Caenorhabditis elegans: one gene and its partner. The protein of the gene in region 1 interacts with the protein of each later gene in a biochemical or structural test. Each region holds a gene or a part of one and is shown on either strand. Other genes may lie near its edges.

What was found.
Region 2: the proteins of klc-2 (region 1) and unc-116 form a complex in vitro, tested with the Caenorhabditis elegans proteins (one study listed by BioGRID).

Annotation. Positions count from the first base shown.
Region 1 is NC_003283.11:5,576,219-5,581,455, reverse strand, and holds klc-2 (Kinesin light chain), read left to right. Parts: upstream 1-1,951; coding exon 1,952-2,069; intron 2,070-2,121; coding exon 2,122-2,438; intron 2,439-2,489; coding exon 2,490-3,409; intron 3,410-3,459; coding exon 3,460-3,568; intron 3,569-4,194; coding exon 4,195-4,353; 3' UTR 4,354-4,719; downstream 4,720-5,237. UniProt on the Caenorhabditis elegans protein: Kinesin is a microtubule-associated force-producing protein that may play a role in organelle transport. The light chain may function in coupling of cargo to the heavy chain or in the modulation of its ATPase activity.
Region 2 is NC_003281.10:8,350,610-8,357,164, reverse strand, and holds unc-116 (Kinesin heavy chain), read left to right. Parts: upstream 1-1,990; 5' UTR 1,991-2,069; coding exon 2,070-2,108; intron 2,109-2,155; coding exon 2,156-2,251; intron 2,252-2,424; coding exon 2,425-2,586; intron 2,587-2,819; coding exon 2,820-3,117; intron 3,118-3,165; coding exon 3,166-3,395; intron 3,396-3,442; coding exon 3,443-4,768; intron 4,769-4,818; coding exon 4,819-5,110; intron 5,111-5,353; coding exon 5,354-5,358; 3' UTR 5,359-6,001; downstream 6,002-6,555. Other genes in the region: Putative RNA-binding protein R05D3.8, read left to right, coding at 1-178; R05D3.6 (Putative ATP synthase subunit epsilon, mitochondrial), read left to right, coding at 6,360-6,440. UniProt on the Caenorhabditis elegans protein: Microtubule-dependent motor protein required for organelle transport. Plays a role in endosome transport. Required for the transport of mitochondria along the axon of motor neurons. Involved in the nuclear migration of hyp7 hypodermal precursor cells.

The sequences.
Region 1 (5,237 bases):
ACTCTTTAACTCCTTCTTCTGTTCATCATAAATCTAAACTGAAAAGTTTAAGACACTAATCCTGGAGCCGAATACGAAAAAGTGCTCGTGGAAGCTTTCAAGCTGGATACCATCATGAATTTGGCCGGTTCTACTATTCAGGCATATCGCCAGTAAGTTATATTTTTAATTTGAAATGAGAATTGGAATTTAGAGTGTTGAATCATTTTCTTATCACATGCATTACTCATCAAAAAATGTTTGAAAGTTATTTCCGCTAGGGCTGTAACAAAAAATGTACAGTACATTCTAAGCGGATACCCTAATTTTCAAAAAATTTCAATTTGCATCTACCGTAAAATAAAAATAAAAATCGAAATCTACTTTCCTAGTCCTCTAATTCAAAATTGCAAGATCTTATGACAAGTTTTCAGAAATAGTGAATATATGAATCAAAACTCTTTGCCCAAATTCTAATAATTCATGAGAAGTTTATGTTAATATGTTTTATTTTTTGGTTTTTATATTTTCTGAAATCCCACCTTTCTCTTGAGAAACAAAGCAATTTCGATACTTTTTTGCATATGAAGCTAAACAAATCCTAGATGTATTCTTCATAAAAACTCAGGTGTCCAAACATTGCAATTAACTATGAAAGGATGCATCTTTCCAATTGTTTCGCAATTCTTTCTCGCCTCCGTCTCTTGCTCTCTCATTTCCTCCATGTTGGACGGACGATCAATAGTTTCTATGTTGTCTCTAATATTTCTATGATCTCTCATCAGTGGCTGCGCACGTCTCGCTGTCTATTCGCCGACACGACGAGAGCGGGCTTTCGGTTAATACAACCAAACACTCTTTCCGAACAACGTTATGTTTTACTTGTCCACACTTTATTAGCATCTTTATGTTCAGAACCATTTCTTATGAGCTTTTGCAGGAGAGAAATTATTAGAAAGTTAAAATTTGGTTTCATTTCTGCTTATATTGCGAAATTTGTACCTATAGTGTTGCACATATTTAGCTTATCTTTGACATATTCCAAAAAGTTTCTCAGTTTTCTAAAAGTTTTTCCAAAATTGTTCTAGTGCAACTCAACCTAGCAAAATCAAAGAAATATATTAGTTCTACCACGAAATGCTATTGATTTTCAAAAATTATAGCGCATAGTGCAGCCTTGATTTTTTCAAATTAAAAATTTCAAAAACCGAGTAAATAAAAATTACAAATTTTTAAAAGAAAATATCAATCCACGATGATTTTTATTTTCTCTAAAACGTGTTGAACATTTGGAACATTTTTGCTTTATTTCAACTTATTTCAAAGCAACGTTTCGGTGTAAAATAAGTTTATCGTTATTTTGTGAAAATGTGGAATGTCATTTTAAAGGCACATGCGTATTTTCTCAGGGGGTCTCGCCACGATCTCCTGTATTTCAATAGCAAATGGCAGGGCTGTTATTTAAGACGCCCTCCTCAATCTTTGAGAGCTCATTTTGGCGTTTTTTTTAACTTCAGCCATAAAATTGAAACTGGATAATATTTACCTAAATAATAGATTTTCCAAATTCTTGCACCAAATAGATCTATGGTATAAAACTGTCAGGCTGATTTTCAAATTTTTGCATTTTTTAGAATTCCAAAGTGAGCAGTATTCATGGAAAAATATTTTTTGAATCTAGTTCTACGTTTTTGAGAGAATGCAAGATTTTAATTAATTTTTGTTGTGCCATACTTTGGCATTATTTACATTTAAAAGAAAAAAAGGGTTAATTTTTTCTGATAAATCTGAAATTAAAAAAAAAGACTATCGCAAAACTTATTGAACGACCTAATAGCTATGATCTACATAGATTCAACTGTTTTTACTCACTGAAAAAATTTTCTCGTTAGCTACCAACACTTCTCGAACTTCTTCCAATTACATTTAATAGATTTAAAATTTCAGGCGAAAAATCGAGTCGCTGGCGAAAATGTCAAACATGTCGCAGGACGACGTGACGACGGGCCTACGTACCGTTCAGCAGGGACTTGAAGCTCTTCGTGAGGAACACTCGACAATTTCGAATACTTTGGAGACTAGTGTCAAAGGTATGGCTTTTTTTACGACGAGTTGAACATTTACTAAAATTCAATCATTTAGGTGTGAAAGAAGATGAAGCTCCATTGCCGAAGCAGAAGCTTTCACAAATTAACGATAATTTGGATAAGTTGGTGTGCGGAGTTGATGAGACATCGTTGATGCTGATGGTATTCCAACTCACTCAAGGAATGGATGCTCAACATCAGAAATACCAAGCTCAACGGAGACGCTTGTGCCAGGAGAATGCGTGGCTTCGTGATGAGTTGAGTTCAACTCAAATCAAACTTCAACAGTCGGAGCAAATGGTTGCTCAATTGGAAGAGGAGAACAAGCATCTTAAGTATATGGCATCAATCAAACAATTTGATGATGGAACTGTAAGTTGAATTTTTCGAGGAGCATTCTTAACTTATTTTGTTTGTTTTCAGCAAAGTGATACTAAGACATCTGTCGATGTTGGACCACAACCAGTCACAAACGAAACTCTTCAAGAACTTGGTTTTGGACCAGAAGACGAAGAAGATATGAATGCTAGTCAATTCAACCAACCAACACCAGCCAACCAAATGGCGGCTTCTGCTAATGTTGGATACGAAATTCCAGCTCGTCTTCGCACACTTCACAACTTGGTCATTCAATACGCCTCCCAAGGTCGTTATGAAGTTGCAGTTCCATTGTGCAAGCAAGCTTTGGAAGATTTGGAGAAAACGAGTGGTCACGATCATCCAGATGTTGCCACAATGCTCAATATTTTGGCACTTGTCTACAGAGATCAGAACAAGTACAAAGAGGCTGCAAATCTTCTGAATGAGGCTCTCAGTATTCGTGAGAAATGTCTTGGAGAAAGTCATCCAGCTGTTGCCGCCACTCTCAACAATCTCGCAGTTTTGTTCGGAAAACGTGGAAAGTTCAAGGATGCTGAACCGCTTTGCAAGCGTGCTCTTGAAATTCGCGAGAAAGTTCTTGGAGATGATCATCCAGATGTGGCCAAGCAACTCAATAATCTTGCTCTTCTTTGCCAAAATCAAGGAAAGTATGAAGAAGTCGAGAAGTATTACAAGAGAGCTCTCGAAATCTACGAGAGCAAACTTGGACCTGATGACCCGAATGTGGCAAAGACCAAGAACAATTTGTCATCTGCTTACTTGAAACAAGGAAAATATAAGGAGGCTGAGGAGTTGTACAAGCAAATTCTCACCAGAGCTCATGAAAGAGAGTTCGGACAGATCAGTGGAGAGAATAAACCAATTTGGCAAATCGCTGAAGAACGAGAGGAGAACAAGCACAAGGGAGAAGGTGCAACTGCCAACGAACAAGCTGGATGGGCAAAAGCCGCCAAAGTTGATAGGTATTATGATTTTTATTAGAAAAAAATAAATTAAACAAAACTGATTCCAGTCCAACCGTCACAACAACTCTCAAGAACCTTGGAGCCCTTTACCGGCGACAAGGAAAATATGAAGCCGCCGAAACATTGGAAGATGTCGCCTTGAGAGCAAAGAAACAGGTATGTAATGATGTTTTTTCTGCATTCATGGCTTCTCTATCTAGCACGCTTTACTGCATTTAAAATACAAAAGTTCAGAAAAAAAATTTAGAAGTTAGATATTAATGTTGTAAAATGTTGTATGCGTCCCCGATACCCCAGTGACAAGAATTTGCTTCATATTTACATGTATTTTTGGAACTTAAAACATTGACAACAGTTGTTTCAAACCAGGGGAGTGCGTCAAATTTGCCGAATTTGCCGGTTGCCGAACTTGCCGGACACGGTAAATTTCGAAAATTGCCGCACACATCAAAAATTCGACAATAAAATTTTGACCAAAACTATGTTTCAAACTAACCCGAAAATTAGATGCTGCCTGAACAATGTCTTGCCAACTTTTGAACCAAAATTGGCAAATACTGAAATATTGCACAAATCTGAAGCTCATTCAAACGAATTGTTTTTTAAAATTAAAGTTTAAATTTAATACGAAGCATATTCTTGTCCTCCCCAAGCCCCCATCAATAACAATTCCAGTAACAAAAAAAAACACATAAAACGCTTATTTTTGTATTTTAGTGATAGTGATGTGCTTTAGAATTTGGTCACTCGTTTCCTCTTTTCAGTATTGTTTCCTCTTTCAGCATGAGCCATTACGAAGTGGAGCGATGGGCGGAATCGATGAAATGAGCCAGTCGATGATGGCTTCTACAATCGGTGGATCCAGAAACTCGATGACAACGAGCACATCTCAAACTGGATTGAAGAATAAACTAATGAATGCACTCGGATTCAACTCTTAAGAGCATCTCTTTGCAGCACTGACTGAAAACCGCTTATCGTTCTTGTATTAATAAGTGCTCGTTGATTCAAGTTCCAAATTCTGAAATTTTGTCTCAGATCTACGAAAACTTGCTTTTTTCTTCTTTCGTTGTGTTGTGCATGATTCTTTTTTTTTTGATTGATTTTTCTTTCTGCCCCATCCCCTCATTCACAAAATCTTGTTCATAAATAATAGGGTTGAATAATTGAATGTTTCCTTGTCCGCCCCCACCAACTTTTTGGTAAAGCTTTATATTGTCTGCTTCGAATTTTCTTTTCAAGCAAAAAAAAAAACATAATTATAACAAGCTGAAAAATCGTGTTGTTGTAAATAAAGGGTTTATTTTTGAATTCTGCTTGTTACAAGAAAAAGAAAACTTCAATTTCAGATGTCCGAATCTCGAAGAATGGAACGATCCGTTATGTATTGATTGTTGCTCGACATTGTACTCCGTCATCAAGCTTTACACTTCTTCGCAAAATTCCAAAAGTTTACAAGTTCTCATTTATTTATATGTATCAAGTTCTAATTAAACACTGCTTTTCTATTTTTGTTAGCTATTCGCATAATAACATTTTTTTTTAATTATAAAAATGTGAACCCGATTAAATTGGAAAAACGTTTCGAGAAAAATTATAATTGCAAAGATTCATGATATTTATTCAATAAGACTTGAAAAACATTTACCCTGATATTCAAAAAATTAACAAAAAACAACGGTCAAGTTGGTGATTATGGGAAGGGGTTTGTATTCTATGAAGAACACGGAGAGATTAACATGAGCGGTACCAAACCCTGGTACCAGGGCTTCCTGCTGGCAGGAAATTGTCAAATTGATAACCCATAATCTCCGGACCGAAGTGA
Region 2 (6,555 bases), on another chromosome or scaffold:
TCCAAATCACACTGCTTATCTAACGCCGTCACGTCCCGTAACTTCTGTACATGCCTCATCATCTGCTTCATCAAATCACTATGATCCATCTGCAGCAGCAGGATATGCACCACTATATCATCAACCACCAGAATCAGATCCATTGTCTCAATGTGGCTATGGACCGAGAAAATGGTAGCTGTGATGATCAAACAAAACTCATATATCTCAAATTACGGTTTCACTTAATTCGAAGTTTACGAACATTGATTTTAAAAAATAAAATTGATTTATCTTCGAAGTTTCATTCTCTCGTAACTTCCTTTATTCTCTACTAGTGAGCGCAGTGAGCGAATGTTCTGTGAGTGTTTGAAGAGGCCGTCCGTTGTCCCTCTGACCGAGAATAAAACATTATACAAAATGAAGAGAACACAGGGAACCACGGATGTATCTCTGTGTCTCTTCACGATGCCAATACATTCCTTGTATCCCTTCGAATTTCTTTCTCCAACTCTTTCTACCACCCAATACTAAAGTCTTCCCTCGTCTCTTTTCCCGCCAAACGAATGAATGTTGTGAGTGTGTCTCTCCTCTCGTTTCACTCTTTTTCAATGAAGCTTTTGCACCGACCATCCTCTAGGTCCCACCACGAAAATCTACTGAACACAATACTCCCACCTGCAGTGTCTTTTCTCTCTTATCGTTCTTTTTCGCATCCGAATCGGTCTCCCCCGCCTTCCTTCACCATCTGCCGTATCGTGTCGTATTGGCCATTACTCATTGTCAATTTGATGACCATATTTGGTTTGAGTCTCCTTATTTGCCCTCGGATATCCTCATCTTGTTTAGTTTGTGTATTTATCTATGAAATTTATTTAAAACCGCATTTATCCATATGTTATTGCATAATATTGAAGCTAATATTCATTCCGAAAAGTTAAGAGACAAGTATCGTGGAGAAATGTTAGTTTTTGGATTTGCGATTTCAGTTTCACTTTGTCTTTCTTGTCACTCAGTAAACCCGTTCAGAATATACCCAGATTTAAACCAAATTAAAACCGTACAAGCCTATATTATGAAAAATTCTAATTTTGGGCAGATGTAAACCAAGATTGTCTAGATCCAAACTTAATTTGCATAGATTGCAAGTTTGAGTAGATGTAAACTGAATTTGTGTAGGTTTGTGTATTTCCAAATCGATTTTGTGTAGATCCAAACCAAATTTGTGCAGATAAATTCACAATATAGGCTTGTACGGTTTTAATTTGGTTTAAATCTGGGTATATTATGAACGGGTTTACTGAGCACTGCTGGATGGTGTTAATTTTATAGTATAAAATTTTGAAAATGTACGAGATTTTGCAAGTTGTTTTTAATTTTTAATTCTCGCGCATATACATAAAATGTCAAATATAAATAAGTAATTAAATAAGCATTGCTGAAAAAAAAAAGAAAACTGAAATTAAAAATTAATCTGACCGAAAATACGATAGGCAAACGTACGTAATTCGAAAAACCCAAGATTTCACGACAAATTGCCAACTAAAACATTTTTCCGCGCGGGAAAAACTTTTATTGTTTCCAGAAGTTTCCTGTTGTTTTGAAGCTATTATTTCAATTATAAAACATTTTCCGAACTCATTTTTCGAACAATTTAACCAAAAATGCATAAATTTGTGAAATTTGTGTGTGCCACGTTTGATCGACGCCAGTCTTTTTCTATTTCTCTATTTTCTGTGTGAAAATTTTGAATATTCAGTACAAACGTTGCAGTTTTTGTTATTTTGTTATCATTCCGTTGTCTATCCATAATCTATGAGCCTTTAGTTTATTTTTTGTCAAAGCCGCCCAATCAAACAAAACTCGCAGCTTCTGTGCATCGCGCACGAGACGAGTGATGAAATATTCCGAAATTTCGCAATGTTTTGCCGTTTCCTCCTTTCTCTATTTCTCTTGCATCTCGTCATCTTTTCTTGTTCTCTACTCAGCATATTGATTATACTTATTGCAGGCATTGTAAGGAGAAGCCGGGTAATTAATACGATAGGCGCCGTTACAAACCGCCAACTGGTGATCATTATTCTCTGAAAATGGAGCCGCGGACAGACGGAGCAGAATGCGGTGTCCAGGTATTAATTTTCCCCGCCTAGATTTTCCAATTTCATATTGTTTTCAGGTATTTTGTCGTATTCGGCCGCTCAATAAGACCGAGGAGAAGAATGCGGACCGTTTCCTGCCCAAATTCCCTTCCGAGGACAGTATATCGCTTGGGGTGAGTAATACAAAGGGGTCATAGGGAACAATTATGTCAACAGGGACGGGAAGCACGGGGGATGCAGGTGTGTCAATTCTCTCACATGACACATTCATCTGTTTGAAAAGTACACGAAAAGTGCAAAGTTGAATATATATATATATATCGATTGATTTGTTGGAATTTTTCAGGGAAAAGTATACGTGTTCGATAAAGTGTTCAAGCCGAACACCACGCAAGAGCAAGTGTACAAAGGAGCCGCTTATCACATCGTACAGGATGTATTATCCGGTTATAATGGAACAGTTTTTGCATATGGACAAACATCTTCCGGAAAAACACATACAATGGAGGTAGGAATTATGAAAACCTTGATAATTACGTAGAATGCGACAAAGACAATCAAGTTGTAATATCAACAGTGCAAATCTTTACTGATTAATGAAAAGAAAAGTTTGAGAACTAATTTTCAGCAGTTATTTCCGAAATCGAATGCCCGAAAGATTTTTGATAATTTTTACGTTTAAAATATTCGGCGCTCGATGAAATTAACAATATAATTTAATTATTTTCATATTTTTTACAGGGAGTAATCGGTGATAATGGCTTGTCGGGAATCATTCCACGTATCGTTGCTGACATCTTTAACCACATTTATAGTATGGACGAGAATCTTCAATTTCACATCAAAGTGTCCTATTATGAAATTTACAACGAGAAGATTCGAGATTTATTAGACCCCGAGAAGGTCAATTTGTCCATTCATGAAGATAAAAATCGAGTGCCATACGTGAAGGGAGCCACCGAACGGTTTGTTGGAGGACCCGATGAGGTTCTTCAGGCAATCGAAGATGGAAAATCCAACAGAATGGTTGCAGTTACGAGTGAGTAAACTTAAAATTAAACAAATTAACATGTGAACGAAATTTCAGACATGAACGAACATTCTTCTCGATCTCATTCCGTCTTCTTGATTACTGTGAAACAAGAACATCAGACAACAAAGAAACAGCTCACCGGAAAGCTTTATCTTGTTGATTTGGCTGGTTCTGAGAAAGTGAGCAAAACTGGAGCTCAAGGAACAGTTTTAGAAGAAGCCAAAAACATCAACAAGTCACTTACTGCACTCGGAATAGTTATTTCAGCATTGGCTGAAGGAACTGTGAGTTGTTTAAATTATGACCTTCTTAAAACGAATATTTATTTCAGAAATCTCATGTTCCATATCGTGATTCCAAACTGACTCGTATTCTTCAAGAATCTCTAGGAGGAAATTCCCGTACTACAGTTATTATTTGTGCTTCTCCGTCACATTTCAACGAAGCTGAAACTAAATCCACACTTTTGTTCGGAGCACGTGCGAAGACTATCAAGAATGTTGTACAAATCAACGAAGAGCTCACAGCAGAAGAATGGAAACGGCGATATGAGAAAGAAAAAGAGAAGAATACTCGATTGGCCGCCCTTCTCCAGGCAGCGGCTTTGGAACTTTCACGCTGGCGTGCTGGAGAATCAGTGTCTGAGGTTGAATGGGTCAATCTATCAGATTCTGCTCAAATGGCTGTGTCGGAAGTTTCTGGTGGGTCGACTCCACTCATGGAACGTTCGATTGCTCCAGCTCCTCCAATGCTAACTTCTACAACTGGCCCGATCACTGACGAAGAGAAGAAGAAGTACGAAGAGGAACGTGTCAAACTGTATCAGCAACTCGACGAGAAAGATGATGAGATTCAAAAAGTTTCGCAAGAGCTTGAGAAGCTTAGACAACAAGTTCTTCTCCAAGAAGAAGCTTTGGGAACTATGCGTGAAAACGAGGAGCTGATCCGTGAAGAGAACAACCGATTCCAAAAAGAAGCTGAAGACAAGCAGCAAGAAGGAAAGGAAATGATGACAGCTCTGGAAGAGATTGCTGTCAACTTGGATGTTCGACAAGCAGAATGCGAAAAATTGAAGAGAGAGTTGGAAGTTGTTCAAGAAGATAACCAGAGTTTGGAAGATCGAATGAACCAAGCAACATCACTCCTCAATGCTCATCTTGACGAATGTGGTCCAAAAATCCGTCATTTCAAAGAAGGAATCTACAATGTTATTCGTGAATTCAACATTGCTGACATTGCCTCTCAAAATGATCAACTTCCTGATCACGATCTTCTGAACCATGTCAGAATCGGAGTTTCAAAACTCTTCTCAGAATACTCTGCTGCGAAAGAGAGCAGTACAGCTGCCGAGCATGATGCTGAAGCGAAACTTGCAGCTGATGTTGCTCGTGTTGAATCTGGTCAAGACGCGGGTAGAATGAAACAATTGCTGGTGAAGGATCAGGCGGCAAAGGAGATCAAGCCACTAACAGATCGTGTCAATATGGAGCTTACAACGTTGAAGAATTTGAAAAAGGAGTTCATGAGAGTACTTGTTGCTCGATGCCAAGCCAATCAAGACACCGAGGGAGAAGATTCTCTCAGTGGACCAGCTCAAAAGCAACGAATTCAGTTCTTGGAGAACAATTTGGACAAGTTGACGAAGGTTCACAAGCAGGTTTGTCGTTTTTATTCTCATTTTGATTATCTTAAAACTTGAATTTTCAGCTTGTTCGCGACAATGCCGATTTGCGCGTTGAACTGCCAAAGATGGAAGCTCGTCTTCGTGGTCGTGAAGATCGCATCAAAATATTAGAAACTGCTCTTCGTGATTCGAAGCAACGTAGTCAAGCAGAACGAAAGAAGTATCAACAAGAAGTTGAACGAATCAAGGAAGCTGTTCGACAACGTAACATGCGACGAATGAATGCTCCACAAATTGTGAAGCCAATCCGTCCAGGACAAGTGTATACGTCTCCGTCAGCAGGAATGTCACAAGGAGCTCCAAATGGCTCAAACGGTGTGTTTAGTCAGACATCTACACCTTCAACATCTCGCAATCAGATACCATCAAAAATGACTATTTCACAGTTGATTGCAGAAATTTAAGATTTTTTTAAAAATTCTTTAGTGCTCATGTAATTTTTCACAAGTAATTATACTATGAATTAGAATTAGAGTGAGTGTTTCTTTTTCTTCCTACCGTATTATCAAATTTAACAGTCTTTTGTCCGTCCATTTTTCACTAATCAAAGTTTTTCAGCATAATGTCTCCCAACAACAACATCAACTCATCGTCTTCTTTGATCCAATCAATACACTGAAGACTGACATTCAAATGCTTCTCTATCTCTCTTCTTTTCCCGGCTTTGTGATATACTTTCGATGGGCTTTTCTGTTTATTTTAAAATCTAGTAACTTATACAATTACGCGGCTTCTGGAAGTTTCAACAAAAATATCTTCATTTGGTTGGTTGTGTCTCCCCATTTCGTTCCTTGGCTTCTCGTCTTCCATGTAGAATACAAAACTTCAAAAGCTAAAAGTATTTAAAGCTTCCCTCCACCCCCACCCAAATTGCCTTTTTCCGCCTTTTTGTTCTAATAGTCTGTTTCTATACGATTTTCCTGTTTCAGTTTTACTAATCTGACACGAGGTTTTGTCTGGTTCTTCCCCCCGTCACCCACCAACACTCCTATGATTGTTTTTTGCATGCGTTTGAGTGTCTTTAAAGCTTGCTTGCTAAATCCCCCTATCATTCTTCATAAGAAATCAACTTGTTTCGTTTCTGCACAATTCGGCCCCCAAATCCCCGCACATCCCAATTGCGTAATTCATTTTTTTGTATCTTTTGCTCTTCCAGTAAATAAAATTATTATTTTTTCTGTTATTAAATAAACGTTTTGCTGTTTTTTAAACAAGATTTTACAATAACATACGAGCAAGAATAACCAACAAACGCATGAGCTTAACTGATTAGTGTTCTGGAGTGAGAATATCATTGAAAACTATGAGAAATAAGTTTAATGTAATTAAATATTTATTGATAGTTTTGTTTCCATTTTGGACCAACTAATTATTATTCAGTAACTTTCGAATATTATCAAGTTTCCTGTTGAACTTTGACTGTATAAAGTTTTTATTTTTTATTTTACAGATTTCTCTAGTCTAAAGGTTGTTCTCCATACCTTTCAATTTACTTCCTTTTTCTGAAAATTTTATTATTTTATAGTATAAATTAAGGTTAAATAACTTTCCCCCAAAATCAAAAATGGTCGCCTGGAGAGCTGCTGGACTCAACTACGTCCGTTATTCACAAATCGCCGCACAAGTCGTTCGTCAGTGCACCAAGGTTTGTTGGACCCTTAAATAACAATATATGCCCCTTTAAGTGGTACAGTAACCCGTTCCGTTAATTTTCTGTTTATCATTTTTCAAGTTATAACCTATAGGTTTCAATTAAGTAA